2 linked regions of the Xenopus tropicalis genome follow. The protein of the gene in region 2 interacts with the protein of the main gene of each other region in a biochemical or structural test. Links are inferred from orthologs where the notes say so. Each region holds a gene or a part of one and is shown on either strand. Other genes may lie near its edges.

Region 1 (3,826 bases), on a different chromosome or scaffold from region 2:
CTTACAGCCCCCCTGGCATTCCCAGTACCCAGAGGCACAAACAGCCCCCCCAGCCCAATAAATAGGGACTGTCTGTGGCACCTTACAGCCCCCCTGGCATTCCCAGTACCCAGAGGCACAAACAGCCCCCCCAGCCAATAAATAGTGAGTGTCTGTGGCACCTTACAGCCCCCCTGGCATTCCCAGTACCCAGAGGCACAAACAGGCCCCCCCAGCCCAATAAATAGTGACTGTCTGTGGCACCTTACAGCCCCCCTGGCATTCCCAGTACCCAGAGGCACAAACAGCCCCCCAGCCCAATAAATAGTGACTGTCTGTGGCACCTTACAGCCCCCCTGGCATTCCCAGTACCCTGAGGCACAAACAGCCCCCCCCCCAGCCCAATAAATAGTGAGTGTCTGTGGCACCTTACAGCCCCCCTGGCATTCCCAGTACCCAGAGGCACAAACAGCCCCCCCAGCCCAATAAATAGTGAGTGTCTATGGCATCTTACAGCCTCCCTGGCATTTACCAGAACCCACAGATTGCCAGTCCGGGCCTGGGGATGGGGCAAGGTTATGGAGTGTGTACCTAGGGCAGTGCCGTATTAAACAGGAGACAATCCCTGGGCACCATCAGCCTAATATGTTTGTGTTCTATGAATAAAGGCAGCGGTGTAACTAGAAGTTAAGGGGCACTCCCCATTGGGCCCCCATGCAACTCGTAGGCCCCTCAGCAGTCACAGGGCCTGCTCCCTCTGTAGTTACCCCCATGTATAAACTATAAACCGTCTCCTATTTCTTCCCAAACACCCTCTGTTTGCACAAGTTCCGTTCCACTGACCATAAATGAGTTGTTTGCTCCTGCGCCTCTGTCACCAGTAACCAACTGTACGTTATGGCTGCTCCCCCCCCCCCCCAAGGAATCGGTAAATTGACCATGAAGGACACAGTACCTGCCCAGGTATAGGAAACGTTAGATTGCACGGCCGTAGTGACCAGCTATAACCAGCGCATGGGGTTGGATGTACAGTAAAACCTGTTGTTTCTCCACAATGAAAAACATCAGCATCAAGGCCAAGTTATACCTCTTTCTGTTGCTATGGAAACAGGCTACTTGCATTACATGATCTAACAAAACGCTTTATCCGAAATCTCATACATGCCCTGCACAATTGCACAACGATCGCTGATATTATGAGCTGTAAAAAGTACTCGGCTGAGAACTGGCTCATTCACCCCTTTCCTTGTACCCGTGCCAACCCCCCGGGCTCCTTGCCAGCCCTTTGATAAGGATATCAGTGTACCAGCTCAGCGATGCAGAGCCGCACGTTGGCAGGCCTTGTGGTGGGGGTCGTAGCCCTTAGATTCCATTCGGGCAACCCTGGCAGACTCGATACAAATGATTAACCCGGTTTTCAGAAGGGGCAGAAGTACCACAGAACCCTTCTTGCATCTCTAGGTGTTTATTAACCAGCAGGTTTCTCTTGTTTTTCTTGCGTGTGTAATTACAGTGTGACTTCATGGCAGCGTTTAAATTCAGCAGGGGGTTTAAACATAACAGGAAGAGGCGTTAAAGTGGCAATTAACATGTGTTAGTGCCCACCTTTAGCATGGCTACCCTAGCCACCAGGCTGTAAATGTAGCCTCCCACTAATCCCCGATTCTGCTTTATGCTCAATGGGCTTGGTTGGGTTTATGCAGTGTTTATACTGATTGATCAGATGTAATCCTATGCTTAGGGGCAGATAGCAGGGGGTTCTGACTGTGCACGGTCAGCTTAATGTGGGAGCTGAACAGGAGCTTCCCTAGATCTGGACCCATAGTACCCCAGAACTCAAAGCAGTTGCACCTTCTTTATACAGTAGGAAAAAATTTAATACAATTAATGAATGTTCGGTTGCCCTTGTGTAGCTTTATAGTGCTGAACCCCCAAATTCCGCCTAATCCGTCTTCTCCTTGCAGAGATCAGTATGGCGTCCGACCCTCTGTCAGACCTTAACGATGACTTGGATAAGGATGAAACCAACCAGCTGGACCAACTGAAACTGGCGTCTTTGGATGATAAGAACTGGCCCTCGGATGACGTGCAGGATTATCCGAATAACGGTAATGCCTTCTTTTACCGGATTTAAACTAATTGGTGGTAGGTAAACGGCGGTGGCATGGGAAATTCAGTGTTCGTTTTTTTTGTCTTTATTCAGCGAATGATTCGAAGCCTTCCCCTGACCCTGTGACCCACCTACGCTGGGACGACCCATACTATGACATTGCGTGGCGTCAGATTGTAGAGGTAGCAGGTAGGAACTTTCTCTTTTATGTGCTCATCGGACATCCCCCCCCCCCCCGGCATCTCATAAAAGAAAAAAGAAAAAAAACAAGATTCCGAGCAGCTAAAACCCTCCGGCAGCCCCACAGGCTGCTTTACCAACTCCATGTTACCTTTGCCTAGCGTAGGCTGTGCGTGCTGGTTAATAGGTTTCCCTGGGAAGGAAAGGACTTGTCCCAACAGCTCCCAGGGCCTCACCTCAATGCAGTCTATCAGCCATTGTCTAAGGATGGAGGATTCCAATGCAGCAAGTCACACAGAGACCATGGTTTTCATTTATAATTTGCACAGATTTCACCCTTCCAGAGAACTTTCCACGCTAAGTGTTTTTCTTTCTTTTTTTGCCTCTCGTTCTCCCCCGCCCCCCTCCGAATTGGGAAAACCAAATCAGACATTTCTGACATACTTTAGCTGGTGTGTCATGTTTGTGCTTTCCAACCTCTTAGCTTTGCCTTTGTCAGCACCCCCCCCACTCTCAAGCCACAATAAAATGATGCTACTTAAATGGAAATAAACAGATTCAAATATCTTGCCATTTTGGGTAAATGTTGCAGGTCAGGGATGAAATGGTTATGAGATCTTATAGCTGCCTGGAAAGATATCCCATGATTCATCTCTCTGTGGCACCGTACAGCCCCCTGCATTTGATTCGTCAGCTGGGATATCACAGGCAAACCTATTGCTCCACTGGGGCCCTACGGGTGCAGGCACAGGGAAAGGCTGATGCCATTGTAGGGGCTGCGTGTATCCACAGGCAAGGAATTTGCCCAGTGGGGCATTAGCCTTAGGCGGTGAATAAAAGGGCCCAGCCTATTGGTTAGGGTCAGATTGAAAGCTCTTATCTTATTATGAGTTGAAGGGGAAGTCTGACCAAAGGTAGGAAAGGATTTTCCAAGGGACATTAGGTATCACTGCTGAGTGGGTTAGAATGAAGTGATCCTGGCAGTGAGATGTCCATACCCTGTGAGCAGCAGACTTGCAGTTGGTCTCACTGTATGGGAAGCCCTACAGTCTGGGAGGCTGTGCGCTTAAGAACTTGGCTTAGAAATAAAATGAAAGGCCTGGTGTTAAAAAGGAAGTTAAACTTCCTCCCATAATATTTAGTGAGATTTACAGCTTACTGTGTAGGGTGCGTTTCCCCTGTCTCTGTTACAAGGCCAGTGGCACAAAGCACAATTGTGAGCGAGAGTATTGCCCCTAGGCAATAGACTTAAGCAACCTTTTCCCAATAAACCGGTTCTGCTCAGTCTGTGTGCCATGACATCTGTAGTAGAGATGGGCAGGAATAAATCCACTTGGGGGGGGGGTTAAATCCACTTGGGAGGGTGGGAAGGAATAAATTCACTGGGGGGAGGGCAGGAATAAATCCACTTGGGGGGGTGGGAAGGAATAAATCCACTTGGGGGGGTGGGAAGGAATAAATCCACTTGGGGGGGGTGGGAAGGAATAAATCCACTTGGGGGGGGTGGGAAGGAATAAATCCACTTGGGGGGGTGGGAAGGAATAAATCCACTTGGGG
Region 2 (3,826 bases):
AAGTCTGCCCATATTGCAAAATGCTTATTATGGAGGCACCTATATGCAAAAAATTGCATAGAAATGCTAAACTAAACAATTTTGAATTAAACAATGATAAGGGGATATTTATACACAATCAGTATAGATATATGTCAATAGTAAATTGCAATGTATATGAGCAAATTATATCTCTTTGAACTTTACTTTATTTTCTAAATTCTTAGTAATTCCTTTTTATTGTGTCCTTCGGTATCCATTATACATTTTGTGCACATTGCCTTAAAGATTTGCATATAATTTAGTGACAAAACTTCCTAATATCAGTATTATTTGATATTGCAGTTTATAAACCATACAGTAATGGTTAAAAACAAGTAATCAAATATGTTTTATAGGACAAACAATTAGAATCTTGGTTATTCCTTGTACCCAATTATTTATGTTAAAGGCAATTTGGCAGCAGGAAAAGAAATATCACACTTATAGCAATCAATGTAGCACAGAGCTGTTTGCCTTTCTAATATTAAACCATATATTATCATATAACTGTCTCAAACTAAGTTTCTAACTACACAATGACAAATGAAATAAACAAAGAACATTACATACTCTTTTATGCATTCCGGTATGCTGACGTACTCCATAGGAATAAGTTCTGCTAATTCAACCAAGCTAAAGACATATTTAATTTTCTGGCTGAATTTTGAGCTAAAAACAAAATAAAACAACAATGGTTATTATGGTAGCTACTGTAGTAATATAATAATTAAATATAGAAGATCAGATTTCATTTCTATTACCTAATGAAGGGCTTTGTGATAGCTAGAAGTGTTCTGATAAACCAGGAAGGGTGTACTATGATCAAAGACTTGAGATTTTTCCGTAACCTTTTATAAAGAAAGACAAGCATTTGATTAGGCCACATGAAAATAAGTCTAGCAAAATTGAAAAATATATATAACCGTTGACCAGTAGAGTGCACATTTGTGCATCTTTGTTCAGTGCAGTTAAGTCACATACTTGATTGCTCAGGCTTTAGGCAAATCCTAATCTTTAAAAAAAACTTCTGGGATTCTGTGAATTCCAAACTGTATTCTGGTTTCTGTGCTTCCCTAACAACAGATTGACCTGAATGCATTAGCATTCAAATACATAATTCAACTTACATCTGTAACTGTAGCCCCCAATTTATTTGATGCTTTAGACATACCTCCTATCAATTTGTTGATAGCATTTCCTAAGCCATCCTAGGCTAGGCATTTTCCTCCGCGTTGTGGCTCCATTTAAATAAACTATCATGTAGTTTTCTGCAACTAACATTTCCAAAGTGCCAATAACATACCTGATGAATAAGCAGAGATACTTATTATTATTGAAAAATAAAAATACAAAACTGGGAACAAAATCAAAAAGACACAGCAAAAAAAAAAGGGGTAAAAAGCTGGTTGCATAGTACTAACAATCACCTAAATAAAATGGGGAACAGAATGAATGAAGCGTAGCAAAAAGGAATAAAGTTGGTCACAAACTACCAAGCACCAAATTCTCTGTGTGGATCCACAACCAAGTTAGTCTAACAGCTGCAAAGCAATGTGGCTGCAATAGAGATGATTACAAAAAAATAAGAATACAAAATTTTGGTCTGCTAATATGAGCCCCAATGCCATTTATGGGGTCACCAGGAACAAGATGGGGCCACCATTTCTTAGTGGTCTCATCATTCTGCCCAATATGTGCAGTTTGGACAACCACACGTGGGCAGTATTACACAAAAGGACCAAGACTTCATTAATCACCTTCTGTTTCTAATCTGTGTGGTAAATTATGACCCCCTTACTTAATATAAGTATATTCAATGTTACTGAGGGGCTTCAAAGACAAGATGCTGCAGGCCGAGTGCTTTGCATGCCCTATGGAACTTTGAGGTGCCTTCTAATATGCATATAATTTAAATGAGGGGTATATTTGTTTTTATGACACTGGCTTTTTTATTTTTTTTTACCAACATTGGACTAATGAAAAGCAACAGCTGTTCAGTGTTAGTAGAGCCCAGGTGCTTCAAGTAACACAACTGACACCAAAGAGCAGCACCAATAACTAACAACATCACTAAACAGTTTCCAAGGACATATTCTACAGGCTACACATGGCTAGTGAAATATAAAGTATTTAGTATATAATTCTTTATATACAATCGTACTGATATAGATAATAAATACAGAATGCAATACTCACTTAAATAGATTGTCCATTAGGTAGCGATAATTAGGTTGACCACTATCAGGCATAAAGCACACAGCAAACACTATAATTGCATTTAATCCATCTCCATAATAACCTTTAATGAAAATAATTATAATAAGTCAGTGGAAGAGAAACACAGGTTTTTCATTTTCTAGATCTTTTCATTTGTGTAATAAAATATGTTTGTGCAGAGGCATAACTACAGAGGGAGCAGACCACATTTGTGGATTATATATTGAATAATGTACCCCCTTATTTTTCCATGACCATATAGCACAAGGCTGAAATGCTCTTATACAGGTCATGGAACTTTGAGGTGACTTCTAATATACGCATATTTTAGCACAAGGGGTGCATTATTTATTATAATACACAAGTTTCAATGAGTCAAGTGAAAATACAACACTTTGACATTAAAGGAGAATGCAAGTCAAAATTTAAAAAGCATACTGCCCAATAGTCCTCCTATTGTTTAGTAAAAACACCACACTTTTGGCTCACCTAATCAAATATTTACTCAGTCACACTTACTTCACATTTTCTAGAACAGGCAGCCATCTCTAAAAAGGTATTCTCCCTTCCTTTCCCTCCTTGCTTCATACTGCACGTGTTTCATTCCCTCCCCCCCTCCCCTCTGCCAGATCCACTTCTGATTGGCTGGTGGGCATGTGTAGCTCAGAACAGGAGACAGGATCAAGTTACACACATGCTCAGAGAATGGGAAGGCTGCCGCTGGCTGTAGGCTGTAGGCTGCCAGCACCATATCTCAGAGAAGCAAGCAGGGATCTGGGAATTTGGATATGCAGTAAGTACTTAAAAAGAATGCCTTTAGACTTACTTTTAATTTATATTAACCTTTCATTGTCCTTTATAAGTCATTATAATTGATCCCATTACTAGGTACAATTTATAAAGATATAATTAACAGAGTATTCTGGGCTTTTCTATCTATCTATCTATCTATCTATCTATCAAATAATACAACATCTTCTAATCATATAAAACTGCACTCACAGGTCAATGATGTAAAGTAAAAAAAGTGGTAATTTATATAGTTAGTCTCCTTTTTTTTTAACCTAATATCAATTTGAAGCTTGTGCTGCTATTTTGCGATCCACCTCCTTCCCAGGAGGCAGAGCGTGCTATTTATTTGCCATTGCACTAACTACCAGCAATGATTATGCATTAGAGATCTCATTACATACTTTGTATAGATCCAAAGTGTAGCCCTCACACTAAAATCACACATGTTTCTCAGTGCATTGCCGCAAAGGTAATACTGAAATTACTATTTAAATAATAATAATATAAAATGAGTGCATGGTTTTATTGTGAGCAGAAGATTACATGTAAGTACCTCTTCTTACCTCCATGGCTAATAACTTTTTTATATGGTTCTATGGCAGTCATATCAACCCTATGATCTTGCTCGCCAATTCTGAACATACGCCAGCGTCTGCTTTCCTCTTTCTCCTCTGCCGCAGTATATTCAGGAATAGAACCTTTTGGTAGCACTTCAGTAGTCTTTGGTTTTGGAAGATCATCTGTAAATATAATAAACTCTCATGAACTTACACTGATTAACCTGTTGTGCATTATT

Evidence for each region.
Region 1: the proteins of bnip2 (region 2) and arhgap1 form a complex in vitro, tested with the Homo sapiens proteins (2 studies listed by BioGRID). The link is inferred for Xenopus tropicalis from reciprocal best matches to the Homo sapiens genes BNIP2 and ARHGAP1.

What each region holds. Positions count from the first base shown.
Region 1 is NC_030680.2:12,963,584-12,967,409, forward strand, and holds part of arhgap1 (rho GTPase-activating protein 1), read left to right. Parts: intron 1-1,943; 5' UTR 1,944-1,951; coding exon 1,952-2,087; intron 2,088-2,182; coding exon 2,183-2,278; intron 2,279-3,826. UniProt on the Homo sapiens protein: GTPase activator for the Rho, Rac and Cdc42 proteins, converting them to the putatively inactive GDP-bound state. Cdc42 seems to be the preferred substrate.
Region 2 is NC_030679.2:96,408,645-96,412,470, reverse strand, and holds part of bnip2 (BCL2/adenovirus E1B 19 kDa protein-interacting protein 2), read right to left. Parts: intron 3,771-3,826; coding exon 3,594-3,770; intron 2,321-3,593; coding exon 2,218-2,320; intron 1,325-2,217; coding exon 1,193-1,324; intron 870-1,192; coding exon 783-869; intron 691-782; coding exon 592-690; intron 1-591.